Linked DNA regions of Lepisosteus oculatus. The protein of the gene in region 4 purifies or fractionates together with the protein of the main gene of each other region. This does not show direct contact. Links are inferred from orthologs where the notes say so. Each region holds a gene or a part of one and is shown on either strand. Other genes may lie near its edges. The genes, in order: lamtor5, lamtor1, lamtor2 and slc38a9.

Region 1 (7,571 bases), on a different chromosome or scaffold from region 4:
TCTTTACATGAAACAGCACTAATCTCTCCCTTCAGAGATTCAGAAGATGCATCGTAAATAGCCGTAACAACCTGCTTAACACTATGAACCAGGAGAAAATTCTGGAGCCTCTGATGATAGATGGCTCAGTCCTGTCTCTCAACTAATTGCAGACTAAGTAGAATGAGCAGATGTTCCATTAGTTAATTAATAACAATGTCTTAAAGAAAGGTCACTGGTTGGTAGAGAGACAACAATGAAAATTAAGATCTTACCCCCTGGATTTGTAACTAGGAACCTTCACTCACCTCAGCTATGATCCTGGATGGAAAACCTGTGGTTTGAATGCCATAATGTATCTGTTTTTCTGATCACCTCATGCTGCAAAGAATACTTGGTGTCAGTTTGAGCTGCATTAGAATGATATGGTAGTTAGCCTCACTAGTTTTGGGTTTTGGGTTTTTCTACAGTACTTGACTAACCTCAATACTCATCTTTTTAAAAAGAAGTGCTTAATGCAATTTGGTTTTGTGGAGGAGCCAGAGGCTATCCTGGCAAGCAATGGGCACAAACAAGGGCACACCCTGGACGGAACACCAGTCCATCGCAGGGCACAGACAGACACAGACAGACACAGACATGCACACACTCACACCACGGCCAGCTTACCCACAAGCCAGTTAACCCACTAGTAGGCCTTTGAAATGTGAGAGGAAACCAGAGCACCCTGTGGATGTGAGGAAGTCATTTGTAAGAAAATGTTTGCAATCTTTAAACATTTGACACAAGATTCAGAAAACAGACATGGATACAAACATTAAACTCTAAACACTTGTCATAAATTCTTGAATGAAAATAATTTGCATTATTTCTTCCAACATGGCATAGACAAGAAACGTTATGGGTAGATAAGGTAAAACAAACCATCCTGCCACCAAGAGCTGTGTGAAGCTGAAACAGCCCAGCTAAACCTGTCGGACTGCAATAAAAAGACTTTCCAGTATCAACACAAAAGAACCCGAGTCACCATCTCTGGATATATGGTGCATCTGTTGGTGACCTATTGTACAGCATAGATTCGCGATAAGGAGTTTCATCCATTTGAAACCATGACACAAGGCAGTTTCAGACAGCACTCCCACCAATGCTTAAAATAGAGCTGCTCTTTTCAAAAGACTGAACTCACAAGAGATGAGAATCTGTAAAGAAGATCGCGTGGCAATGCTGTTATCGGTGGTCTTGCAGTGAACTGCTGACCTGAGGAAGGGCCAAGCAGATGGTGGTACGTCTGAATAAAGTGGGTCTGCATTAGTTATAACAGGGGAATCCTGGTACAGCACTGAAGAAATCCATATTTATGAAAATCAGAAAGCAGAGCTTAGTAAAACTCCTCAACTATTACGTGCACAAGTGTGGTTGGTACAGGATGAATTCAGGTTTTTAAATCTCTGTTCCTAGCTTAAAAATAAAATCAGAAGTTAACTGTTCCTCCCCCCCATAACATCCTTTATACTGCATCTTTAATTGGCTTAGGACACATTCAGAAAGAGTTCAACAAAGTGCAAAAAAGTTTGTGTTAAAAAGAAAACTGGAGAGAGAAACAAGAATTTAGAAGAAATTTGAAATAATCACTGAGACATCTTTGTGATCAACTCATTTTTCTTTGTCGTTTGGAAAAAAAGTCTGCTTCAACTCCATAGCAGAAATGCTAAATACTACTGTTTTAATTACATTTACAAATCGAACAGGATGGAGATCTTTCATTTTCTACACATCTGTTGTTTCAAAAAGTCCATGTTATTGCCTGAACCCACAGATTAACAAGGGACTCTAAAGACGAAAATCACAACAAAGACAGCTTTTTGCGAAATCAGTAAGGGCCTGTAGACTGGCTTGAGAAATTTGTCCTGGAGAAAGTCAATTGTTGACAGCTCCTGGTGTTTCCAAGCACTGCCATGTAAGATCTTTGAAAGGCAAATTCCATTATTAAATATTGCACAACCTCCCATCCCTCCAAAACACCCTGAATTGCTACAGTTGATCAAGGGCAGATCACCTTCCCCTTTCATCACCTTCATATGCCAAACCTAATTCTCAGGTGGTTTTCAAATAACAGTCTCACTTCCTTCCAGGCTCTATTCTTTCCCTGGCTCAAGCTCTGCTAAATCTCGAGCTGGTAGAGGTCAATGGTCATTGGATGCCACTCCTCTTCTGTGTTTTTAAACAGAACCTGACCAATTGTCATCCTTCAAATAGTCAGCTGACTGAGGATGGCAAGTTACCCCTACTGCCTTCTGGGGAATGTAGTTCAGGCAAGAATCTCCCTCTCAAAATGTGTAGTCAGGAATAGACTGACTGTCTCCAAGGGCGGACAGTTCTAGTAGTCCTGAATCTTAATCATGTAGGGATGGATGGGTTAGCTCTGATAAAATCCCTGTACATAACAACTCCTTTGCTTTTCTAGGAAAGAAGCTGAGTATAATGAATCCCAGTAGATAACATCTTTATTATGTATGCTTGCCTTTTTGTAACAAGGTTATATCTAAAAGTGCAGAAGCTTGGATGGTATTTTCGGTAAAATGCCCTGATGAGGACTTTTGTAATCCTTTTTATTAGATGAAATACAATGCACTTTCAGTGTGACTAAAAATAGCCAGACTTGAGATAGATGCTGTATGCTGTATTGCATTCCCATTTAAGGGTAGATGCGTGGAAAATAATTAATTCTAGTTGTGGCTGACCTTACTATAACGAGATATGGTATCATTACTGCAAATTAGAAAGGAATCCCCATGATACCGCAGAAGAGAGGGCTGGTGAGTTCATCCAGTTTGCATCACTTCTTCACCTTTCCATTATGGGTCCATCCAGTATTTAATGTTAAAGACTGTTAATGTCAAAAAGCTCATCTGAGAAAGGCTCTGTATGGTGCATTAGTCCATGATCAGGCATGTTATGAAGCTGAGAAAAATAGTCTATAATGAGTGAAAAATTGATTTAACAACACACAAGTGAAACGCTATTACACATGTACTGTGCATATTTGAAACACAGGAAGATGATTACCATATTAATATGTTTACAATATCCTGTAGGTTAAATGATATACTTTATACATGGTACATTCATTCATTTGTACTTTACACTAATAAAGATACTGTGACATTGCCTTCATGATATGTATTAAAAAAACAGGCATAGGAAAAACATTAAAATGTATAGTAGTAATGCTTAAGGAAATCAAACCTGAATTGTTTTATTCCAATATAAAATGGGGAAAATAACTAAAATGGTATTTTCTGAGGAAAATAAAACTTTTTTATTACTATTATCATGATTTGTTTTGTGTTTGTAACTACAGCGACCAGTACGATGGTCATACGGCTGAAGCTCCCCTGTGTACAGTGACCAGTTTGCATTGCTCAATCCACAGCTGGGCATGTGAGGAGAGTGGGAGCTGAATACAAGAATAGAGATCTCTGTGCTCCCTGATCAATGACTTTGACAGCTGGCCTGATTCCAATTTCAATCCATAATTCTTCCTCGCAGGGAAATTAATGAAGCCAAGGGCTGATTAGGTCTGAATCACTCCTCCATGACTAATTCAGGGTTATTTATCAGCGCTCTGTGGGCCAGGACACTGCACTACTCACACAGAGTTGTAGGCACAAATGATGTTCTCTCTAAAACCTGGGCGACTGGCACAGCCACACTCATACCGAGAATGTAATATAAAACAATGTAAGAGCTTAATCTGAGACTCACGTCAGCTCTTGATAAACTGCGATGAACAGTGTTATTGTCACCTTGCTGTTACCTTTGAAATTGATTTTGTAGGACATTTTGGGTGGCAGACCTGAAAGTACTATGGAAAGCAATTTAAGAATCTTATGAATCTTAATGCCAACATCCAAATGTTTACAAGAAAGTAATGCCTTTTCTCTTCATAGGTTTGTTTAATTTAATAGCAGTGTGAGATATACCATCCTCATCAGACCATAAGTTATAATGGAGGAACATCATTACTGTGTCAGTCATCATTTCTAAGAGTATAGGGATGAACTGTTCTAAATTTAATCACTTCAATTCATTATTTTAATAAAAAAAACAAATCAAGACCATTTGTATTCTAGTGCATCCACTGTATTTTTATAATGTTTGTTCCCAAAGCTCAGAATTTATTAAACACCCTTTCAAACTTGATGAATGAAGATGGCCATGTTTAGGAACATCTAGGTTCATAGTTTGAGTTCACATCCAAATACCCTGCCAACAGTCCTCAGTGAGTCATTCTTTGTGGCGCAGAGTGCCGCCTTCTGATTTTCTAAACAATTCTAGCAATTATTATTATTATTAATTAATTATTAATTATAAATAATAATAACACTTTTTCACTTTTCACTCCATGGGATGGCAGGAAAAAAGCTGATTAATGTTTAATAGTGTCTCTAATGTTTAATACATGAAAAACTACATCTTACGTGGTCACTGAGGTTGACTCAATACTTTTGTCTAAATCGTATATATCGCTACGCTGGTTTGACTCTTGTGGGCTTCCGTATAAGGTATTAGTCACGTGTGTAACTGTCAGCTGACTGCTGCCCATAGTGAGGAAAACGTCTCTGTGCTGTATTTTCCACAATTTACATTGTTTTATTTTTGTAATTTATGTTACTGTGAGCCTTTAAAGAATGGAGTCAACACTAGAACAGCATCTAGATGATACGTGAGTTTTTTTTTTAATATAATCCGCTTTTTAAGTGTTTTACTTTGGGGAAAAAACAAACGCGATCTGGAATAATTAATTATCTAAAATATTTGACCTTTTTAAATATAAATTATACATAGACAGCGATTTTAATATATAATCGTTCTAAACATAATTGGCTAATTCCAAAAACGGTACTAAAGTAGTTCCTTTTTACATTTTCATACCCTAGTATTGAAAGAAAAAAAATAGATACCCACGGATTCACTAACAAGTTATCTGAGTTAAAATAATGTATTTGTTTACTTTCAATATGGCTTTATTTAAATATTTGTTTTTATAGTATTTCTATTTTTCGTTGACCCAAAAGTTGATCGCCTGCCTTTACCACTAATGTCGCCAGAGAAAGACTTCAAACGTTTTACTTTCTGAGCGATATCAGGGTACATACGCGCTCTTTAAATGAAACAAATCTGTCTTCTGCCTGTCAGAATGAAGAACCCTGCCATCGTGGGGATCCTCTGCACTGACCAGCAGGGCCACAACCTGGGCTGTGAGTACACACACCTGTCCCACGGGCTGTGCTGCTTTGTTGAAAACATCGCTTTGCCACTACCTGTTGTTTCAGAGTCCTGGAGAGCCGCAGTGCTTCTTAATTTACTTAATCTGTTTACAGTTTACCACCTTTTTCAAGAGTTCAGTTGCATAGAGTTTTCTGTAATGCCTGCAGAATGAAAAATATAGTAAAGAGAAGTGGTCCTTCCTTCGTGTTCTGGAAGGCTTCCTGTGATTCTGGTTTTCATTCCATTTGAGCTGTTACTTGCGAAATTAAATCAATCATTTATTGAAGAGTGAAGGAGTATGGATTGGGTTCCCTTTAAAAAGGGAGCTCTCTAGGACCAGGAGAGAGGGTCGCAGCTACGGGCAGTCCTGAATTTCAGAACGGTACATTAGTCCAATGGGAAGCTTCAGCACGGAGATCAGATGGCCTTGCTGCTGTTCACGCACGAATGGAGCTTCCACAAGCACGGCAGTGCCTTCACAACTGTGACTTTGAGTGTTGGCGAAAAGGGGGGCGCAGTCGTTTCAATACACAGGGTTCAGGTATCTGTGTGCCGGCTCTGACCTGCCCTCTCCTGCTGCTCCTGTCTTGCCATTAGGCCGCGGCACGCTGTCTGATGAGCACGGCGGAGTGGTGTCAGTGCTGGCCAAGCAGGCGGCCCAGCTGACAGCGGACCACACTGACTGCCCCACGGTGTGCCTGGAGTCGGATGCTGGGTAAGAGGGGGCAGGAGGCTCTGACTCTGCCTCGCTGAACAATTGGGCTTGTTAAGTGCACGGCTTTTACTATTTCATTAAGTTACACCCAGTTCTTTAAAAACGCCTCGTTTCTCATTGGTGCGGTTCAACTACATTGCCTAATTTATGCAGAGTCGTCTTACTTAATGTTCTATATGATTGCAAAACGTTTCTTATACCTTTCTACATGTTGTCACATTTTCTTTCCATTTCTCTCTAGGCATGCTACTGTAGGTACAAAATGCTTGTGTTCAGTGTCTGTTAGAAGGGATTTTTTCTGTATTTGCTTCTTTGCTTATACTGCCACCCTGTGGATTTGAACTAAGAAACTGGGGTGTTAGTTGTCTCTGAGTTTTACAAAGCGCCCTGAAAACTCTGCAGTGGGGATGAGAACTTCACTCCTTAAGGGCTATACCGTTCAACAACGGAAGACCAAAACAATAGGATTTTTTTTTTGGCTAAAATATTTCATTTGTTTAAATGAATAAATGTCAGAGGCGAATGAAAACTGCAGGAGCTGCCTGTCTCAGATCTACAAAGTTTTTCTTTTTCCAAAGCTCTGAGGAACTGGGCATTAAACAGGTCTTATGACACCATGGCACTAGTTGTAAAAGAGGATGTTTAAACCTCTCTCATCTCATGCTTGGGGTCATTTATTCCTGGAACTAAAGTCCTTGTTTATTTATTCTTGAATTATGAAAGACACTTTCTCTTCTCTCTGTAGGAACATCTTAATAAGGACACATGGCACCATTACAGTAGCTGTGCACAAGATGGCATCCTGATTTTTCAAGCAACAAGAAAACACTTTACTTGTTTCCCCACCCCCTTTTCTTTGTTTTTTTATGAAGCGCATAACAAACTCCAAATGGTCATCTTCCAATAAAGATAAAAAACAACTGAATAAGCATTTGAATGTTGAGACCATTGGAATACAATTTCTTGTGTTAACAGTTTAGTAACATATTGCTTTGTTTTCATAGAAGGATGGCGTCAGTCATTCAGACACAAAGTTAGACATTGCATTTCTCAGTCATTTGTGCTCAGCTCCTCCATTTTAATGAGCAACTAGTTACAAATAGTTTGGGGATTGTTGGAATGCTTGTGTATGTACACGAGCTTTTCAAGGTGAATGTCTGCTGGCTGCCTCCCTGATAGGTACAGTACAATGTTTCATAAGTTCAACTGATCTGAACTTTGCCCAAGGTCGCCAAAAGGTGCATAGCATGAGGTCATGCTACTGAAAACTGAAGCAAATGACAGCTATGTCATAGTCTGGCCAGCACTGGGCTGGGAAAACAATTTGCTAGTTTCAGTCTTAATAAACAAGTTCTAGGTTACCCTTAAATGTGTTTTTGTCCACCACACCATTGGTGGAGATTCAGTGGCAGAAAATGGAACTTTCAAATGGACAGGTAGCAAAATCTCATACATCATAGAAATGAAGGGCATATTTTTATGATTTGTTGGTTTGAATCATGACTTTTATGAAAGAAACACTGGGCACTTAGCAGAGGATTTGAACTCTTTTTGTCATTAAGCATGTTTTCTGCTGTGCTTTGCTATCTGCGAGTTCTGTGTCGTT
Region 2 (7,201 bases), on a different chromosome or scaffold from region 4:
TTAAAAATAATACCATACATTGTACTTGTGGTCTACAGTATACACCACAGAAACATACATTTGTTGATTTTGTACAGAGCCTCAAAAGAAGCTTCAAGCAAACCAGTAGCACCTTACATTTATGTACTCAGTTTCATCACAGCTAGATGTTGCAGGTCTTTTATCCCAGGTCAGTTTGTCATACAATCCTGAGTGTGGGAACAGTTCCCCTCACAGCGATGCTTAGTGCAGAGCATGTGAACTAATCACAGTAAAGACCCCAGACCACAAACAGCGGAAGCACACTTGAATATCAGAACACTGGTAATGCAGTTCAGACCAACCTGTTTCGAGAAGATATTGGATGAAGACTCTAGGGCTGGGGGAAACGCAGCTCTGTGTTGAGCTTCGGGCCTTAAATGCAAGACAGGTAAAATTGGCCGAGTCACCGCTGTTAAGAGGAGGTGTGTGAATTATTGATGCGACCCCAAGCTGATCCAGTAATTCGCAGAGAGAAAGAGGTGCGGGATCCTCAAGGATAGGGTTACCTGCCCCGCTTATCGCAGCAACACGTCGACAGGAATTCTCCAGAACGCATCACAAGTTCACCCCCGGGAGGCTTGGTAATGTGACCTTTGTTCAAAGATCACAAAGCCTTTGTTTCAAGCAATTTTTAATGGGAAAAAAAACACATTACTAAAAAAAAACCAGGAAAATACAACATCCCCATCAACGTGTTTTTTGGTTTGAAGTCCTTCGATTTGATGGAGGTTTATTTTTGTTATACAACCATTTAGAAATTCTAAAACCTCGGCAATTACTGTACTGTCCAACAATTTACTATATTTGTGTTTGGACACTTGGATTTAGGTAACATTGATCTAAAAATGTTACTGGGTATTGTAAAGGGTGGTACGATATTTGTTAGGCTTGAAAAAAATTGAAAAGTCATTTAATGTAGACTCAATTTAATGCCCCCTCCCACAACCACCACCTACATATGAAATATTTTCCATTTCATTTACAGTAATAAAACAACATGCAACAAAAAACACAACAATCATAGGAAAAGCTATTGCTTAACAATGCTGATGTTTATTTATTATTTTGTAAAAATGCTTTCTGAAAATGACACAACGTATGCACCAATGCTGTCATTTATATAAATAATTCAATGTTTTCTGATATAGTAATTAAATTGTTAATGGCTAGTTACATACAACACCTTCAGTTAAATTCCCCATTGTATTGCCCTTAAGAGACCCAAAGGTACATGGCTGATGCAGAAAAGCATTTTTAAACATTGGAATCTCTTTCCTGAGTGAGGGAAACGTTTTCCATATTTGATATTAAAGGTATTTAATGTAACCAGACCTTTGTCATTTATACTGTGGTGTTTCTGTACCCCTGAGAACTTTTCTGTTATACTGGACAGGGAGGTTATATCTTCTATTAATATTCACCACCCCTATTTTCCCCATTAAATACACACGTAAAGATCCATCCACTCAGCAGCGGAGCTTCTGCAGTCCCCTGAGGAATTTCCTCAGCTCCTTGTCAGAGCTTTGCCACAGCAGCAGCTTGGAGAGAACCAGTCTACCTCTCTGTCTGCTCCCCAGGGCCAGAATGATGCCAGAGGAGGGACCATCCAGTTCCTCACAGGCGCACCTGCTGCCCTCTGGCAGCCAGAGGGCGCTCCGAGCCATCGACTCCTCCTCAGCGCGGTCACCTTGTCTCAGCACCACCCGGCTTCTGCCGTTAGGAACAATCTTCCGGTCAGCCCCCAGCAACTGTGTCTCTTTGACCCTTAGTCGCACGACTGTATAGAAATCCAGACAAATAAAGCAGAAAAGTGTAAATTTAATAGTCTTTATGTGGAAATGCAGGTAAAAATAAGGGTATTTTTTGAGATGGTAGCCTTACTCCTACATATTTTCTTTAAAAGCTGATATTTTAAATATCTGATATTGATATTGTTTAAATACAACTACCATCCAGTTGGATTTAAATTAGAATTTACTTTAAATCAGTGTTTTCTGAAGCAATCGGCATGTTTATATGCTGGGTGGATTGATTTAATCTCACGAATTAAACACAAATATAACATACCAGGAGCACATAGAATTCAAACACATGCACCATACGAGGAGCGTACAAAATTTGGATTAGGAAAGGTACTCCAGCACATGCTCTGATCATCCACTTTTTATTGAACTCACCAAAATCGCTTTTGCAGTAATTCTCCAGAATCTCTTTCCCACCTTCTGGCAAACTGCACGCCTCGCATATCAATGTCCCTGTGCGAAGGAAAAAGGAATCTTAATTTATTTTCAAGGAAAAATCTTTTTAGAAACATATTCGTAGTTGAGTCGTCTTTAAAACGTGCACATGAAAGAAAAGCAAAGATAGCAGCAACTCACCGGCAAACATTCGGAGGGTGGTAAGCATTTCAAGTGAACAACGTTTAAGTATTTTATTTCGAATTTGTGTTTCTATTTAGTGGTAGATTAATATCAGACAATGTTTCGAGGTTCCCACCTCTGCCTCATAGAAAGTAGATGTCATGTTACGGGGAAGAAAATTGTTATAGACAGTATTAACTACTCTGCCATCAAACACGACCAGCCGAGAAGTGGCACAACCATTGAAGTCTAATGCAAAACCTCTTAACAACCACGTATCGTTTTGCGCGTTTCATAACACGCTCCCTAGAATCGAATCTCTTGCTTTCCACTTTAAATTTATGCGCTTTCAGATTTTTTTAAATCAATAATAATACATTGATTTTATATGGCGCCTCTAAAGGTAAATTCGCAAAGCGCGCTGTGTCTTTTCGATGACAGACTTTTAAAAATAGTATTTGAAACCAACACAATCAATGACAGGTGAATTCCAACAAACCGTCCATATCGTTGCTGTGGGGCCCCGGGTTGCCGTTGTCGCTGGACGGAGAAGCCGTGGGCGGGATGCAGACCTCGGCGCCGGTCGGGAACTGGCTGCAGTTGAGGATCTCAGGCCAGGGAAACCCGAAAGCGCTCATGACAGGCAGGCAGCCGTCCCGGACTCCCTCGCACAGGCTCCTGCACGGCCGGACGGGCCGCTCCAGCTCTCGTAAACAGACGGGGGCGAAGAGGGAACAGAGGAACTTCTTGGTGTCGCGGTGACACTGTTTGGAGAGCAGCGGCACCCAGGAGCCGGCCTGCTGCTGCGCTTCCTTGATGGTTTCGTGGCCCAGCAGGTTGGGAAGGCGCATCTCTCTGTAGCCTACGTCGTGGCACAGACCCATCGTGTTAGGAATGGGTTTGCAGACCTGGCGCTTGGCGCTGAATCCAGTGGGGGCGAACTGTAGCGAAGGGTCAGCTGCACAGACGCGCCAGGATGTGAGCAGTATCCAAACTTGAAACGGAATGGATACCGCCATCATGACGTTCGTACTTTTGAGTACTAAAAAGCCTTTAAATCAGGTTTCTTAACCCCACAATCAGTCTTCGGTGTAGTTAATTGACGTTATTCACTTATTCAAACTGATGCTTAAGAGGCATTTCGGCATCCAGTCTCTTGTTTCAAGATTAAATATTGACATTCACCATACTTGCCAGAAAGATAAGCTGGGTTCTCCCTCCATTAGCTGCAAGTACGAATACGAGTCGCCAAGTACAGTCCCCCGTCTTCGCAGAGCTTGAGAAAGAGTGTTTCTCTGGTGTTCTGCTAGGAGATAAATGCCATGACTGATCTGTAATTCACCTAAATTAAAGAGGGAAATGGTCGAGACACATCCTGTCAAACTGGTTTTTAAACCAGGCATTGTGTAATGCCATCTGTAATACCATCCGGGAAATGTGTTTATTGAGGGTTATAAAATTGAGACCTGTTATTTAACTACAGTGCTTTGAGGACGTGTTGGAAGTGCCAGCTTTAGTAATTTACACTTATTTTCAAATTCTTTGCAATCAACATTTTTTTAGTTATGTTTAATTAAAACCATACGTAATAACAACAAAAACGGTACAAAACACAGCAACAAAGATGTCAGTAGTTGTACTATCACAATCTACCCCCACTGTTATTCTTGCACGGAGCTGGCGGACAAGACGGTCAATTTTCAGTTCCTGTATCACGTGTTGAGGGTGTTTTGGTTTCTCCCAACTCCGCTTCACGTCAGCCGGAAGTCATATGTTATTGCTACAGAGCTGTTGTCATGTGACTACAAGCCTGGGGTTTGGAGAGAGGGGAAGATCGGAAGGAACAGAAGAGAAGGGGGTTGCTGGTTTTCGTCTTCCCAAGCCTGCACACCGGAATTTCTTTCTTTCTTTAATTAGTTTACCGGGAAGAAAAGCTGGAGATTGCATTCGGTTCGCCTGGCAGAGAGCCGAGAGCCCCCAGAGGATACCATGGGTTGCTGTTATAGCAGCGAGACGGAGGCCACTGATCAGGTGCTGTGATCTGTTCTAGTGAAGCAATGGTCGAGGTAGCAGTAACACGCATTCCTAATGTAACATAACCTGGGAGACTGAGAGAGGGAGTATGCGGGACTGGATTGACCCGAAGAGAACATCTCTATTCCTTTAGCTACCGTATAGAAAGAAAATGTTTGTACCAAAAATTGTGAAGACGTAGTGTGTTTAGTAGGGCCTAAAGGGCAAAAGTACTACACGGGCAAACATACTAGGGCTAGAACTTAGTAAAGATGGTTTTCTAAAGTACCCAAATGACAAGGCTACAGGAATGCAGGATTGCATGACCTGAAACGAAAGAATGTGCAGCATGAGATTTATTGATTTCTTATTTTTTTTCTCTAATTTTCAACCTTGGCAAAAAAAAAAACAACAACAACAAACGAATCTGATTCAGCATGACAAAATAACCTCGTCTGTCACATGACTCTGGAACTTTGCAATAATGTGCAAATCACATGACAAACTGTCCCTTGCATGAAATATTTAGTCATGTGGGACAAAAAAAGTGACAGGCGGAACAATTTCAGAGTGCATGCACAATGAGCCAATTGGACACCAGCCTCTACTGTTCCTTTTCCTCAGTGATGTGTCAGGATGTTATTTGATCATGTCTTCTCAGAAAGATATTTGCTTATAGTATAACACTTTGCATTGTTTTTAGTTTTGCATTGTTAAAACTATGGCTTGGATTTTCAATGGTTAAGCATTTTTTATGGCCAAAATACTATAAGCGAATGCCACTATGCAAAAGTGATTTTGGATCCACCTGAGGATTTCATTTGAAACCCATAGCTCAGAGATTAGCTGGAACATGTATCTGGCTGTGCAGTGGGTTGATTTTGTTATTTTACATCCCCGGAGGCCTTTGACCAAATCCAATTAATTGTCCTGAAAGTTATTGAGTTAAGGAAGGTTTAGGAAGCTTCAGCCTAGACTTACATAGTTCACAAAACTCTCACACAACACTACACAATTTGTCACATTTTATACAGGGTACATATTCAAGCCAGGACTATAGTGATTCATTACCACATTTTTTTTTAAATGTAAAAACTCATGTATTGCTTAGCCGTTGTGTTCAGTTTGGCAGACATGGTGAAAATTGTATTTCTTGTCAAAGGTGTAGTTCACAGTGTACTTTTTAAAATATTGTACTGAGATATGGAATATTTTCATCACCTGATTTGCAAGGTATTTCTAAGCTTCAGTCCTGGCAGACAAATAACAGCCCAGGGTTTATATTTAGCAAGCAACCCATCATCTGCTTCTAAATTTGCGATTTTTAAATTGTCCAGCTAAGGCGCTCACTCCCGGTGTTCCCTGCTTGCGTTTGATGAAATGCACCATTGCTGCCTTTCAGGACCGAGATGAGAGGAAACCGCTGATCCCCCATCCCAACCCGGACAATAAACCAACCAACGGAGCAGAGAGGAATTCAGCCAGCCTTCCCTCAGCGCGGACAGATGAGCAGGCCCTCCTCACGTCCATCCTCACCAAGACAGCACTGTAAGTAGATGGTGGAATGGAAGCATCTTATCCACACAGTGAGACTGGCTGCTGTGTGGTAGTCTGAACACACTGAGGGGACAGGGAACTTAGAGGCTCATTCTTGTTTTGCTCTCCAGGAATATAATTGATGTCTCAGCTGCAGACTCCCAGGGAATGGAGCAGCATGAGTACATGGACAAAGCTCGACAATATAGGTAGGTTCAAACTTCCAACTCTCTACTATGTTGCTTGTTCTTAGGACATTTAAAAATATCTTTGCTTCCTTAAAACAAATTCCTGTTCTGGATGATAAACAGGTTCTGCCTGATGAAGTATTAAAGCTAGAATCTTTTGATACAGAATCATAAAAACATCTAAAATGTTTCCTGGAAAATGTATCTCTTCAAAAGTCCAGTGCTTGGTTTCTGTATAACATGATACCTGTCCTGAATTTGCCACTGTCTGTAGCCAGTGGAAGCCATGATCCAGCTAAACCCTGGACTCCAACTTACTCTCCAAAAAAATAAACCAAACTTAAAGTGTTACTGTGGATGATGGCTACCCATGAGTGCAAGACAAGCTCTTTTGAAGATGATATACAAATATTCACAGAAATACAGAGTACTTCAGTTACCACTCGGAGCAATAATTGGGTCCACTTATATTGTATCATTTACACAAGAGTAATAAAGCCCCTTACAATTTGTAGGCACTTAAATTTAATTACTCCGTTTGTTTAGAGGACATAGGTCATATGTCTGTTCATAAGGATTGTTTGGTTGAAAGCATATTGAGTATCTGTCTCTTGATTTATTTGTAACCATAGAGTTAAACTTTATTTACGTATTGCACTTAAGTGCACGATGGAGGGAAATTAACATTTCAGTAAACTCATTTGGCAGCCTTGTTCTGAATAGAATTTGGATTAAGGCCACTAACTGACACACTAAACAGATAACAGTAACTCCAGCTACTCCTTGAGCAGTTGACTTCAACTGAACTCCTCAGATGGCCTGAATATCAAATTTGTCATAGTCGAAATTTACTAATGGCCTTCTAGCTGTTAGAAATGCTTAGCTTGTGAAGATTATAGATGAGGTTTAGCATGATCTTCGTAATGGAATGCAAGCGACAGTCTTGTTAAAACGCCAATTAATCCAGTGATGTGCTGGATCGTTTTTTCTTTGAAAGAAGGTAATACGTTTTGTGGAAATTCTAATGATAACTTCTGCTGCTTATGTTTTAGTACAAGGCTGGTAGGCCTCAGTAACACACTG
Region 3 (7,581 bases), on a different chromosome or scaffold from region 4:
TCAAGCGGTGAAGAACGAGGTTTAAAGTCTCATCCGAAGAGTAGGGCTTCAAAGCTCAGCTGCTGGAGACCCACACACCCACGGCAGCCCAGCGTAGCTCCTGCACTCAACCCTCCACTGTACTAACAACTTACCTGAGCGATCTGATTATTTGCCATTGAGTTTCCTACTCAAAAGTTGGGGATTTTACTTACGAAATGCGGTACAGTAGTTAAAACGTAACCTCCAAAATGTTTAGAGCTGAAACCAGTCAAATTAAATCTAAATATAAAAATGAATGAATCGATATTAATACATCCATTAAGAGTTCAGCTGTGGAACTGAGGGCTCGGCTGGGAACAGAAATCATCGGGTATGTGGTCCACCAGGAGCAGGACTGGGAGCCCCTGTCCTACAGCACAGCGCCCCCCGTCACTATGCTGAGACACTGTCTTGGAAATCCTGTCCCAGGGAGAAAAGCACCACCTACTACCAACACCGCTTACACTAGCAAACTGCTATTCCTGCAGTCCTCCCATGCCAGTGCAGTCCAGGTTCGGCCTTGATCAGCTTCCGATATCTCAGAAAAGAGGGCTAAGAGGTGATGAGGAACAAGTAAAGGTTTATTCCATGCTGAAAAGAGAAGAAAAGAAACACGTTTCCACGGTGGAGCCTTCTTCGGGTCCACAGTGGGAAACTTGTGTTTCCTTTCTTCTCAGCCTGGAATAAACGATTACTTGTTCCTTTGCAGACTACGCATGCTGACGCAGCTCCCCACTTGAACTACTGAGAGGTGATGATGCTATAGTCCTCTAGACTGCCTGTGGTCAGTGTTCGTGGTTGGTCCACTCTGACTCCTTGCAGCAGTAAGCAGTCTGCCGAAGCACTGGAGGAGTGGAACAGTCGACCCCTGGTGGGGACGCGGGGAAGTGCAGCGGCTCACCATGCAGTCCATGAGGATGAACTTCAGCTTGTCCTCGTTGAAGGCCTGGTGCCCGTTCTTGTCGTACGCTGCCCAGATGTTGCTGGCGATGGCGGCGGTCACGCGGGCATCTGTGTCCCCGTAGCCGGAGTAGGCCAGAAGGGAGCCTTCGTTATTCAGCAGGCTGGGGAAAGGAGCAGAGGGAAAGTCACCATCATCAAGTCTCTAACGGACTGCTGGAGCCCTCCTCTTATTCCAGGCTGGCTCCACTGAGTTTCCAAAGTAAGTGTTGAAGGCACAGTCTGTAGGAGGCACGGTGCTGTGGAGGTAAGCACTCCTGCCTCATAGTACTGGGGGTGCTGTCTGTGAGGAGTTTGCATGTTCCTCCAGGTGCTGTGGTTTGCTCCCACAGTGAAAAGGCATGCTGGTGGATTAATTGGAAGAACTGGCTCTGTGTGCGAGTGTGTATCTGCCCTGTGATGGACTGGCATCCCGCCCAGGGATGCTTTGCGCCCGTTGATTACCAGGATAGACTCCGGTTCCCCTGCAGTCCTGGATTACCATGACAACAGACCCAGGGAACCACAGCTAGCTCACTCGGATAACCGTGACGACCATGATGTTCCAGAGAACAGGATATCAGCCCTGGGCTTTGGGGAAACTGCTCACAATACATCATCATTAGTATTCAACTAGCAATAATCACGCCTCGGGCCAAACCTCATATACTGCGATACAGCCACTGTGCAAAGCTGTAACTGACCATCGGACACAGAGGAGAGGAACTCAGAAACTCAGAAACTGGCAGTGGGAAGAGATAAGGCTCCGGGGGTCCCCAGGCAGCATCGTCTCCCCGCTGGTCTAGTGGTTAGGGTTCGGCGCTCTCACCGCTGCGGCCCGGGTTCGATTCCCGGTCAGGGAAGGGTCTCCTTTTTTATGGGGGTATAGCTCAGTGGTAGAGCATTTGACTGCAGATCAAGAGGTCCCCAGTTCAAATCTGGGTGCCCCCTCTGTATGTGACTTTCATCAATTTATAAAGTATTATCTATCTATCATTACTGCACCCCAAACTCACTGCCCGGGGACCCCCGGAGGCTTATCTCTTCCCACTGCCAGTTTCTGAGTTTCTGAGTTCCTCTCCTCTGTGTCCGATGGTCAGTTACAGCTTTGCACAGTGGCTGTATCGCAGTATATGAGGTTTGGCCCGAGGCGCGATTATTGCTAGTTGAATACTTTTCCCAAACTAGTTATACTGCCATAGAAATCTGTAAAATAATCTGTGGCAAAGCGCTGTGAAGAGCGTTATACCAGATACATTGACAGACTGATGTGCTAGATGTTATGAAATTAGAAGTTAAACCTGGGATTCAGGTAAAAACGTGTACGAATACATAGAAAATTAATCACTACGTGGCCGTAAAAATATATTTTTTTAAAATGCTGTATACATTATTTAAAGTGAATTAATTAATTATTGATCTTCATTTGGTTATTTCAGGATGTTGCAGAGACACGTTCTTCTTCGGGTACTCACGCTGAGTATTTTATCATACGTTTTTTTTACTATCGCACAATGCAGTTCAGCCTTCCGAGAAAGCCTATATACCAACTGCCACCTTATTGAGTCGCGCTGGCATTGTAAACGTGCCGTTGCCGCTAAGGGGAAGTTCCTGCTGTTCCTGATGTTACTGGAGACCAAATACGAGCTTTTTCTGCAAGAGAGGCGAAGGCAGCTCAGATTGGGAAACTCGTTACCGCTTCCCACGCAGGTTACCCACGAATTTTGTTCGACAGCTGCGTTAAGTGTAGGTTATCTCCCACCCAGTCAAATATATTTTATAGCAGAACAGTCCGCATCAGTGAAAATATCAGGTGGAAACGTGGTTATTATAGCCTTCATCATTACTCACAGTGTACTCTGAACGCCGCTTGTATTCGCCTGGCTCAGAACTTGAGTCAGTGCCTTTGGTCGCAGCATGGTTGGAAAAAAGAATACGAAGAAATCAAGTATTAAATCTAAATAACTACAATACTTGTACTCTCCAAAATATACAGTATCCTCGCGGAAAGCACCACTCCGTCAGCTGACTGAACATTCCGGAAGTCACTTCCTGTTTACGTCTCGAGTCCACTGCGGTTCTGGGAATTGTAGTTTCCTTTTGCGACGCGGTAGCGTCCTGTGCACACGTCTCGATTGTAGTTTTCACAAAACTTTAACAGTTCCATTAAACAGCGGTTCAGTTTGTATCGCGGACAGATTTTATCCGGCGTAAGGCACGTACAGCGGACTTATAAATACCAGGTGGCCCCGTCTACTTTTGTGTCGTGTCCGTTTAGTTTGAGGCGCAAACAAAAAACTGTAGTACCTTTAACTCAGTACAGTACCCGAAATTAAGTACAGTATCTGTGTTTCTCCTCTGCCTGGGAGTACGGCCTTTTCTAGTGGGGTTTACCCTTGTAAAATCAACCCCCATCACCTTCCCCTTGATACAACTCACAAAATACTGCATCATACTAAACACCTGGGACTTGGTTAGCAGTATACATTACAATGCCCTCACGTTACGGACAGTAACACGCAGATTTAATTGACAAAAGTCTGAAGCGAAAAGCAGAAGGAAAAGCCTTGTAATGTGGTTAAAGGTTTTAAGTAGATAAGCTTATGATTTAGATATTACAATTAGCTTTGTTTTACGATAAAGTCTTGAAATACGTAGTACGAAAACCTGTTCAAGTTGTTATTGTACTCGAAGATAAGATAAACAAGTCTAGGCATGTTATTACTGTCGGTGTGATGTATAGTTTTCCAGATAACCTCGCCTCGGAAATGTTTAAAATACTGTACTTCTCATTATCATCATTATACACAGACGAGCGTTAACATAGAAAAAAGTTCACCTGTTATGTGTCTAATACCTCTCCCTCCATATTTGTGTGTAGAGTAGCTGCATTAGTTTCACCTGTTTTTAGAATAGTCACAGTCTGTGTCTGAAGCCTAGGTGTCTCAGGAGAAGCCCCTGGCCTTCGCTAGTCTGCACAGTAGCACAGTCCGAGCTCCAGAGTCTGTTGGGGATCGGGGTCAGTTACCATACACACCCCCAAGAAAGGCAGGCGAAGAGTCATTTCTGCGTTATTCAACAAAGTCTGCCAACCTCAGCACATCCCACCTATCGACAGGCGGGCAGAGAATCAAGGGGGCAGAGACGGGTTCTAGGGGTTAATGTTGTGGGAGGACACTCGTTAACCTAGAAGACCAATGCGGATCACTGCCTCAAGGTCCCGAGCGATCATCGTCCCTCCAAGCACGTCTTTCCTGCTGGGAGAAGAGCTGTCCAGGATGACAGAGCAAGTGTGGACACCCAGTAGCTTGATAAGCCTGACGCTGATGTTATTCATATATTATGGCCACCTCAGTCACCAGTTCTGCACCCAATCGAGCATTTACAGCATATTTAATAATAATAATAATAATAATAATAATAAAGCGCTTTACAGGTAATGGGGATCCCCTCCACCACCACCAGTGTGCAGCCCCACCTGGATGATGCGACGGCAGCCATAGTGCGCCAGAACGCTCACCACACATCAGCTATCAGTGGGGAGGAGAGCAGAGTAATGAAGCCAATTCATAGATGGGGATTATTAGGAGGCCATGATTGGTAAGGGCCAATGGGAAATTTGGCCAGGCCACCAGGGTTACACCCCTACTCTTTTCGAGAAGTGGCCTAGGATTTTAAATGACCATAGAGAGTCAGGACCTCAGTTTTACGACTCATCCTAAGGACGGCGCCTGTTTATAGTATAGTGTCCCCATCACTATACTGGGGCATTAGGACCCACATTGACCGCAGGGTGAGCACCCCTTGCTGGCCCCACTAACACCTCTTCCAGCAGCAACCTTAGTTTTTCCCAGGAGTCTCCCATCGAGGTACTGACCAGGCTCACACCTGCTGAGATTCAGGGGGTTGTTAGCTGTGAGTTGCAGAGTGATATGGCTGCTGGTAATATGACAATGCTTGAGACGGGTTTTCACCTCTGTCCACTAGGAGCGAGTTGACTTCCTTTCTCCTGGAAGAAGGTGCCGTGTCCCTCCTGCAGAATCCCAGAGGCTGGCAGATGTTACTCCACAGACCACACAGGGTATACAGGCCCAGCGCCCTCTTAAATCTCTTTACATTGTCATTGGCATTTTTTGTCCACCATAACAAAAAGACAAAGGATTAATCAAACTTGAACAGTTTATTCAAGTTGAATACGTATACTTTCTTTAGTCAGGAATCATGCGTCTTGGCAACAAGAAACACAGGCATGTAGATGTCCTCACAGCACTGGGGCCCTGGGGTCCTGTCTGTGTGGAGTTCGGATGTTCTCCTCATGTTCATGTGGGTTTCCTCCCTCAGGCCAAAGACATGCTGGTGGGTTAATTGACTTCTGGGAAAACTGGCCCTGGTGTGAGTTTGTACTTGCGTTAGTCTGCCCTGTGACGGACCGGCATTTCGTCCAGGAGGTATCCAGCCTTGCGTCTGTTTTTTATTGGAATATGCTCCCCCAGAACTCTATAATGGAAAAACCAGCTCGATACTTGACAACTGTACCCTGCAGTCTGTGACCTTAAACGTATGCTACCACTAAATGAGGAAGAGACTTCATCGGCTTTTAAGAGTATCACATTGCAAGGGATTTCAGGGCACCCGCCCAAGAGATAGATCTTGGCTAAACTGTAGTTCAACAGAAACTTGAATGACCTGGACTGGAGAAAATCAAACACCTGGAGTAGTTCCACCCGTCAGAAGTGACAGCTGAAATTTTCCCTTTTCTGTCGCTGCAGTCCAAACGGATTAACAGGACAGTACCCAACGTCTTTGGGTTAAGAAGGATTAATTCTTTTAGTTCTGCATTCATGGTAACTCCACAATATCTCACAATAAAGCTCATAATCAAGCAATAGAAAATCTTATTTTCTTACTAAAATAAAGTGCTCTGTGAGGCTTCTCACTACTGGTACTCTTTTTAAGTAAGTTGACATAAGTTGACTATTCTACCAAACATATTTCTATTTGATCGGGCACAAAACCATAGAAATAACTGAGAACACAAGTGACCAGAGGAAAACACATAAACACACGTATACTGTTATGTGCATTGTCTTTCGTGGCATAAAAGGTACACTAACATATAACACTGTACTGTAAACAGGCGTCGTCCTTCAGATGAGACGTAAAACCGAGGTCCTGACTCTCTATGGTCATTAAAAATCCCAGGGTGTTTCTCGAAAAGAGTAGGGGTGTAACCCCGGCGTCTTGGCCAAATTTCCCATTGCCCCTTACCAATCATGGCCTCCTAATAACCCCATGTCTGAATTGGCTTCATTACTCTGCTCTCCTCCCCACTGAGAGCTGGTGTGTGGGGAGCGTTCTGCCGCACTATAGCTGCCGTCACATCATCCAGGTGGGGCTGCACACTGGTGGTGGTGGAGGGGATCCCCATTACCTGTAAAGCGCTTTGAGTGGAGTGTCCAGAAAAGCACTATATAAGTGTAAGCAATTATTATTATTATTATTATTATACCCCATCCCAAATGAGAATTGGAAAACCTGAAAACTGCCTTTGGCTACCACCTAGTGGTCAGTTATGTGCACTCCAGATAGTCTGGAGATTGGCAATTGGTAAGAGAATGGCCATGACAAGATCAACATGACTGTTGACCAAATTTGAAAAAAAGGATGTTATGTGCTAACTCTACTATGACAATTCATTGGTTTAATATTTATGCATGTAATAATATGGCAGGTAACAACCACAGAGTTGAATAATACAATTTGAGTAAGCATTCTTTATACCACAGTTCTTGTGGTCAGTGCTTTGGGTGAGATAAGACAGCTCGCTGTTTAAAAGACTTAAAAATTAAACAAAACACAAAATAATCTGTGTACATGCACAGAAATCTCTGTGCATGTAATGTTTAATGATTTTTTTCAAAAATACACCTTTAAAATTGGCTGTTGGAATGATTTTGTTGGAATGGAATTTCTGCATTCTCTCCACCTTCCACGGCAACATCTCTCGTTTGCTTCCCGTTCGGTCATGGGTCCATTCTGAAAGCCTCTACCCCCAAAACAGGCGACTGCAATTCCTTTAAGACTTGCCCGTCTCTGTTGTGTAACGCCAGTCTGTGAGGGCTGGACACTTGCACTCTTTGACAGGGGCTTTAGAGGTGAGCAGCTGATGCTGGCCAGCGGGCGACTGCCTTCTGATCTCAATCAGTGGTGGAATGAAACTGTGCTCCCCTGGGACTGGTATTGCCTGTGAATGAAGGGTTTCAAAATCCCGGCCAAGCATGGCAAACAATTCAGGCCCCAGCTATTTCAAAACTTCAGTGCAGCAGCCAGAGGTAAACTGTACCAGGATGCTGGCCGTTCTGTTTGGAAGAGGCATTCAGGACTTGGTAATTGCCTCTACCACTGGGTTTGAAGCTGAATTATATTAAGGGCCTTTGATGAAGTGTGCTAACTACTCTGTTCCAGTTTCTGGCAAAAAAGAATGTCTTCCAACATCGAGCCGGGGCAGACATGAGACATCAAACATGCGCACACGTACCACTTTCCACATGTCAACTAAGAGTAGACCTTTTTGTCTGAATTGTTCGGTACAGTTCTTAAAAAAGGCGGCTGCTGCTCTGG
Region 4 (7,042 bases):
CTTAAAGCAATCATTCACATTCAGGAAAATCAAACACTCGTGTATTACACATGTACGAGCTCTTTGGCTGGCTTTTAAGCTCCTCCTCTTCGTTCTATCACCATGTACAGCAACCTTGAGTTTTGGAAAGGTGCTTCATAAACCAAATAAATAAAATCCATAAATACTAGTATTATTAGACCTTCACATCATTCGTTAGGGGGGACTGAACCTTTTCAGCAGTAGCCCACCCACCCCCTCCCCATCTTTGGGGCACAATTCCCGACCAGATCAAAAACACACCCTCACACTGATATTTTTAAATCTCGCCTGAAGGCTGACTTGCTCTCGATGGCCTTCGACACCTAACAATTCTTTTACTTTCATAATTGATGCACTTTTTGGAATTTCTTTTTCCGACTTCTACACATTTTTGTTGTGTACAATGCATGCAAAGAGCCTCGAGATCGCCCCGATTGAAAGACAGGAATGAAACCGACTGCCGAGAATGAGGACAATCGCGCATTACATGTTTTTGGAAGATTGCAAGAGAACCGGCTCACACAGCTCTGCCAAAGCAAAACATCAGATTCATATCCCCTCTCGTTGTTTCGAGAAGCTACTTTTAAAGGCGCCATATAAGATCGTTTATTTTTACGGATAAAATAAGAACGCAAAAGGAACGAAGACGGCCATCACGGTGCAGAGTCGAGGTGAAACAGAGGAGTTCAGGAAATTGGTTTTGAATCAGGGATCCTCAAAAGTTTCATCCTCAGTCCAACGGGAAACAGTGCTCATGGTGCATCTGTTCACCTGCAATTCTCTCAGCACCCTCTCCTGATTGTATCTGGGCTACTACTTGAGGAGTAAGTACTGCAAAAGTGTCTTCGCACCGAGTCAAAATTAAGCTCCAGACGCGGCGCCTTTTGTCTTCTATCGTTTTAATTTACTTAACGAGCAATTAACACAAGCATGGCCATCACCGAAGGTGCGAACGTACAGCAGGCTTTCGATCAATTGGAGGGAAGGCGGGATGATTTTCCTTTCCGCTGCTCGCTTGGGGCAAATTAAATTATCATTCAACATCTCAGTGCATCTCTTCTTACTGGGATACGTTGGTCGGTTTTTTTTTTAAGTCGCTTCAAATATTCTCGTTATACGAGAACACACACCTGCTTCCAATCAGCAAAACCCTTAGAAAGGCGGGGAAAACCAAATCTAATACATCAAGCCTAACTACACAATTTAACTATAGCTCCTTTAATTCAGAATTAGTCTGAAATCGCTTCGCAAAATACTTCACACACCAAATAACATCTAACCTAAGGGTGTCGTAGAAACTCCCGGGAAAACGTTTCCTCCCAAACGAGGCGCCAAAAAAGCCAAGGCTGAGCAGGCCCGACTTGCGAGCAAACTCAACTGCAATACTAAAATCACCATTTAAGTTGTGTATTTAAGAAAAAACGACAAAGCGTTGGAACAGTTAATCATTTGCAAATAAAACCCATTCACCATTTTGCATAGCGCGTATATATATATATATCGGCCTCAAAGTGCTTGTAATAAAGACGAAAGGGCAATTCAATATTTTAAAATGACAAGAATTACACCTGACGCCAACATAGAAGGGAAACGGAAAAAGTACAAAGACATACAACTACACTAAAACATTCACCATGCGGAAAGGTACGATTTAAAGAAAACGGAACTACATACTCGGTTGCACATTACTTACGGATTACTGATTTTATTTACGTCGTTATTTTAACGAAAGAGATTGACTTCAAAGCAAATAGCTCCGCGCCAATGTCCCCCAGTCCCGCTTCCACTCGGTCTCGAAAGAAGCCGCGTTTCAGCTCCGAGCCCGGTTATCAGCTGGAACGAAACACGTGGGCAGGATCGCGCGCGTCCTTCTCCCCGCTCGGCACCGTGACGTCACGACACACGAGTCAATTTCTTGAAGTCAGCGCGTCTATCTGCACCTTGCTCCCGATTCTTCATCGGTTCTTTGTTCCTTTTTACAGCTGATGGGCGTTTTGATACATTTTTATGCTAAGAGGCCCTTAAAGGTTAACTGAGGTACGAAATGGGTTACAACCGTATACCACTTACTGAGGCTCAGAACCGCACTGATTCCGTCGTGTTAACTGAAACGTAATCAACTGGAATCTCCGGAGGTTCGTGAGGTTCAAAAAGCATTCAGGGTGGGAATGTGTGATACTTTGTCAGTCCCACCTGTGTCTGTTCACCTATTACACCTATTAAGAGCGGTTAAGAAGCAAACTCTGAAAACAAGTTGGGGAGACGCTGCTTAAAGGTAATCATGTAAAAGTTGACACATGAAATTAAGGGTATTTTAGAAACCAAGACTTGTGAAGCTAAGCAAGCATTTTGGAGGTTACCTTTTAACTTGTGTTTCATAACTAATTTAAGATTTTTCACTTTTAAATAGAATCTCACTATTAGGTCAATAATAGGTCACAATCTCACAGGTACGTGGGCATCCAAGACCAGAATTTGGAAAACATGATTTGGAGTATCCTCCAGAGACCTACACATTGGCAAGAAAAAGGGAAAACTCATTTCTGGCTTATTGGGAAAGGTTTAATAACTGGTTCTAGTTCTGGATGTTCTGGTGCTCTGTTAAGATCTGCATACACACGGGCTTCATGTTTGTCCTTCTTTGTATTAGAACATAAGGCTGTTATGCCCAACTCCTCTAGCTCTTTTTCTTTCAGTAGTTAATTGATCCAAAGCTCTCAGCCAGCTCTTTCCTAAAAGGAGTCAATATATCAGCTTCAACAATATCAGTGAACTGTCTGTGCAGCCATATTGCCATTCATGGCCTCCTATTAATCCCTGTCTATGAATTGGGTTCATCACTCTGATCTCCTCCTTAATGATAGCTGATGTGTGGTGAGTGTACTGGTGCACTATGGCTGCTGTTGTATCATCCTGGTGGGGCTGCACATTGGTGGTGACGGGGAGTCCCCATAACCTGTAAAGTGCTTTTGAGTGGAGTGTCCAAAAAAGTGCTATATAAGCGTAAGCAATTATTATTATTGATAAACAATTCAGTATGATCCAAAGCTCTCAGCTCACACTATTCTACGAGAGCTTATCAGTGCATTGTACATTTTAAACTGTACCCTAAATTTCTTCTGCTCACGTATAAGGCATTAAGTGCTTTAGCTCTTGATTATTTAAAGCACTTTCTGCTTGAATATAGTCTAGCACATAACTTTATACTTTACCTGCTAAATCTGACCTTTTTACTTGTTTATTTCACTTTGCTTTTAATTCTGTTGTGTATTATGTGTGCTACTGAGCGCTCAATGCTTCTTGCAAATGTCTCAAACAACAATTGCCTTGTTATCATTTACATAAGATCCTATCATGTCGACCATCTTATGAGCCCAAGGCAGCTTCAATATTCATGTACATTTTGCTTTTATTAAGCATTCAGATGTTGTACATGTTTGTCTTTATACTATACCGTTTGAATTATTTTCTTATTAGGTTCTGTATTGTTTGGGTAGTGCAAGCTGTGCCCTGTTTAGGATATGTTCTTGTTATTTGGTCGTGTTCTTTTAGGAAAGCTTTATGGCCTAAGAATCATGACAAACATAGGAACAGGTAAAGGTTTATTCCATGCTGAAATGAAAAGAAAAAGAGACAGCGTTTTGCCTTTTTCAGGTCCCAAACATACATAGGACATATATAAACATAAAAACGAACAATGACAAACATGACAATGACAATACCCCTCTTCATTTAAAAACAGTAAAAACTAAATCATTTATATTCTGAATTAAACATAGATGTGAATACATTATTGTGCACGAAATAATCACATTTCTCTTCAGTCAGGTGAGACTCACGAATTCTTTCTCATCTCTTGGACTGTCTACACAGCCAGGTATCAAACTCAGCTGACTGAACTGTAGGCATTCTGGGTAGTGTAGTTGAGTTGAGAGTATGCCCAATACCTGTCCCTTCTAAAACACTACAGACCCTATAAGGCATTGCGACAGCTAAGCATGTGCAATGCACGTTCGCATTGTTTCCTGTTTTTAAAACGCTGCTCGAACCGTGAGGTCCGGGGGTTGGTGTTTGGTGTCTGGTGTCTTTGGTTTTTAATGTAAGTTTAAACGGGTTTTTTAAAGTTGATTAATAGCTCTTATAAAAGAGCAGGGCTGTTTTATGGTTTCTAGTTTGCAATCATAAGGATTATATTGGTATTAACAGTTTAAATTAGTTGTTCACCCAGTAATTGATTTCTCGGTTAACTTTACGGTACTGGTCATAATAGTTATATTGTTTTTAAAACGAGTCAGTTGAGTACAATTTAGGAAAAGGTGTAGACGTATTTTACTTTATAGCACCTCGATAAACGTACGAGCTAGTTAAAGCTAACGTTTTCAGATAAAATGTGTGAAATGGATGTGGTTTACCTATATTGTGAAATGTGTATTCCATGAATTTCATTTTATGTGCTGCATACAGTTCAATTTAAGGATGTCCGATTTGTAATCCCGATATATATATATATCGCTCTGTATAGAAAGCATCAAACGTTGAAATGTGAGGGGTTATGCTTCTTTTTACTCTTGTATTAGGTAGTATTCTTGTATTTGTGGCTCGGTATATGATAACTTAGGATACGCGGCATTCTGAAATGGATATTTATACGTAATTTTCGAAGCAGAGCAATTGCAAAGCAAAGCCAAGAATAAGACTCTGAACATCTCTCCCGTTCTGGAATTTTTAAAAAGCCCCTGTGAATTCTGGCACCCTTGTCGTTTCTTGGAAAGGACGAGCAGCTGTTGCTGCCCTTACAAACTGAACAAATTGTTTTAACTACACGATATTAATGTTTTTATCAAGGTTGCGGTCAAAACAAATCCGGCAGCTCAGACGGGAATTACTTGTTTTTTTCCCCATCAATTATTCCACATCAGGGTAGTGTGAATAGTCAACGATGAGAGCTGCCGTAATTCCTTACAGTCTATTCTATTGCAGGAAAGTGCACAGATATTTATTTCGAGGTTTTATGAAGAGGTGCCTCCGTTACAGTTATTATCACGACGGTATACTTAGCCAGTACGTATAATTCTCTAGTTGTTTGTGTTCTGTGTAACTCCTAACCATGGCCCTGTGATCCCTCTCTAGAACCCTGTGCTATATGTATTGATTACAGCTAGTTGGCGTTTTAACTACTGAAAGACTGAAAGCTGCCTTGTAGCTTCCTTTATCAATTGTTGACTTTCCACAGTTCCCTGTGTAACAGAAAATGAAAATATCTGCATACTTGTCAAATTGAATGGATTAAAAATAGCAGTAAAACCCGCAGTTATGTAAGGCATGTCAGCTCCCACAAAAAAAACATCCTACAGAGAAAATGAAAAAAATGCCTCTCATAGGCTGAAGAGAATTTATTTCATACTAGAATAGAATTTCAAATAGAATAGGATTTGTTGTATCAGCACTAGGGATTTCGATTTGGGTACATTGGCATGTCAAACACAACCTGTTCTCTTAGGGTTAAATATATTCTAATATGCGACTTTTAAAATTACCCTGGTCTCTTTGGATTTAAATGTGTAAATATATGTATGTATCATGACATCTGTTATGTGAAAAAACAGGTCAACACCAAAAATGAGAATTTGAAATGCTTATCTGTGCCTTGTGGTACAGAAGTTGCATACATTTAATCACTTTTCTTAGGAAGAAATGGAATCTCCTTTCTAATAAGCTAGGTTGTTCTACAGAAGGTTTGTAGTAGTGGATTCATTTATAAATATTTAATGAATAACTAAAACAGCTGAGTCAATACTGAATACTATAAGTGGCCATTGGTGACATGTAATGATATTTCAGAATTTTTATTTTTAAATATCATTTTTATGTAATGATATTTTAGAAGAGATAATCATGTAAAATCCTGCCTTATTTCAATGAAGAGATGCTGAGTTCCTCATTTTTGAAAATTGAACTTGGAGCAGAGGCATCTAATTCACCTTCCCATTATGCCGCTTCCTGTATTTCTTGGCTTGTTCATGTACAAACACACTGATTGAAACCTCCCTGAAGACCTGCTGTTTGCAGGAGATTTGTACACAACAGGTGGATCATGTTTTAGTCCTAATTCGAATAAAGAGTTTTTTATTTACCAATCTAAAATCATCTGTGCGCTTTAATGGCTATTATCACCAAATCTAAATATGAAAAGTGTGTATTTACAAAATAAAATATTTTGTTTTAACCATAGGTTTTGCAAACTTCCATTTTCCAGTGAGAGACTCCCTTCTAGTTACTTAAACCGGTTAGTTTTAAAATAATGTATAGACCCATGAAAATTAGTCGTAAAAAACAAATCGGAAGGCCATTACAAGAACTTTTGCATTTGAACGGGCAATGTTGCCGCATAGTTCAAGTACAGATGGTATCATCAGAAATTTCAATTAGGGCATCGGACAAGTTTTCTAGTTCATAGCGGACAGGCTTCAGTTGAAGTTATTTATTATAACAATAGCTAAACAACAAATTGCCTTACATCCAATATAAAAGTTTCCAAAACAAGCATAAGCTCTACAGACCCAGAAACCCAGAATCCCTGTAACCTGAAATCAGACAGTGTATAATGCCCAATCAGGCCAAAAATCAGGCCTGGTGTTCTATATTCACAGAAACCAACTCAGTTCAACTCAGTTTTTCCTATAATCCTGGAAGTCCAAAAGTCAAAGAGACTCAATCTACCTGTTCTAAAAACCCTTCACAAGACCCAAGACCAAATTCCACTCACCTAGTGCTTCTGTTTCCTTCTGTTAATTCCCTGTCTCTCTCTTCATCACTGTTCCCTGACCTTTCTTTCCTGCCTTCTTATGATGTCTGTCTGTGTGTTAAATGTGTATTCTTCAATTTTAATTAACCAGAGTAGATTTATTTTGATCCTCTGTCTTTTACAGCCCACCCACAGCTAGGTAAACAACTCCGTTTCTTCCTATTGTTTTTTAATTTTACAACCTCTTAAGCCATAACAATATTAACAAATATGTAC

Evidence for each region.
Region 1: the proteins of slc38a9 (region 4) and lamtor5 purify together in Homo sapiens (co-immunoprecipitation; 5 studies listed by BioGRID and IntAct, with this or other methods). This does not show direct contact. The link is inferred for Lepisosteus oculatus from reciprocal best matches to the Homo sapiens genes SLC38A9 and LAMTOR5.
Region 2: the proteins of slc38a9 (region 4) and lamtor1 purify together in Homo sapiens (co-immunoprecipitation; 5 studies listed by BioGRID and IntAct, with this or other methods). This does not show direct contact. The link is inferred for Lepisosteus oculatus from reciprocal best matches to the Homo sapiens genes SLC38A9 and LAMTOR1.
Region 3: the proteins of slc38a9 (region 4) and lamtor2 purify together in Homo sapiens (co-immunoprecipitation; 5 studies listed by BioGRID and IntAct, with this or other methods). This does not show direct contact. The link is inferred for Lepisosteus oculatus from reciprocal best matches to the Homo sapiens genes SLC38A9 and LAMTOR2.

Annotation. Positions count from the first base shown.
Region 1 is NC_090700.1:37,465,801-37,473,371, reverse strand, and holds the start of lamtor5 (ragulator complex protein LAMTOR5), read left to right. Parts: upstream 1-4,549; 5' UTR 4,550-4,670; coding exon 4,671-4,705; intron 4,706-5,178; coding exon 5,179-5,240; intron 5,241-5,847; coding exon 5,848-5,965; intron 5,966-6,710; coding exon 6,711-6,771; 3' UTR 6,772-7,571. UniProt on the Homo sapiens protein: As part of the Ragulator complex it is involved in amino acid sensing and activation of mTORC1, a signaling complex promoting cell growth in response to growth factors, energy levels, and amino acids.
Region 2 is NC_090700.1:12,730,399-12,737,599, forward strand, and holds the start of lamtor1 (ragulator complex protein LAMTOR1), read left to right. Parts: upstream 1-4,196; 5' UTR 4,197-4,370; coding exon 4,371-4,412; intron 4,413-5,796; coding exon 5,797-5,942; intron 5,943-6,061; coding exon 6,062-6,139; intron 6,140-7,170; coding exon 7,171-7,201. Other genes in the region: sfrp2l (secreted frizzled-related protein 2-like), read right to left, coding at 1,488-1,798, 2,199-2,276, 2,881-3,403. UniProt on the Homo sapiens protein: Key component of the Ragulator complex, a multiprotein complex involved in amino acid sensing and activation of mTORC1, a signaling complex promoting cell growth in response to growth factors, energy levels, and amino acids.
Region 3 is NC_090722.1:3,022,378-3,029,958, reverse strand, and holds the start of lamtor2 (ragulator complex protein LAMTOR2), read right to left. Parts: upstream 3,009-7,581; 5' UTR 2,880-3,008; coding exon 2,812-2,879; intron 2,206-2,811; exon of another isoform or gene 2,065-2,205; intron 1,912-2,064; exon of another isoform or gene 1,840-1,911; intron 1,656-1,839; exon of another isoform or gene 1,573-1,655; intron 1,086-1,572; coding exon 923-1,085; intron 1-922. UniProt on the Homo sapiens protein: As part of the Ragulator complex it is involved in amino acid sensing and activation of mTORC1, a signaling complex promoting cell growth in response to growth factors, energy levels, and amino acids.
Region 4 is NC_090698.1:26,536,647-26,543,688, forward strand, and holds the start of slc38a9 (neutral amino acid transporter 9), read left to right. Parts: upstream 1-4,033; 5' UTR 4,034-4,120; intron 4,121-7,042.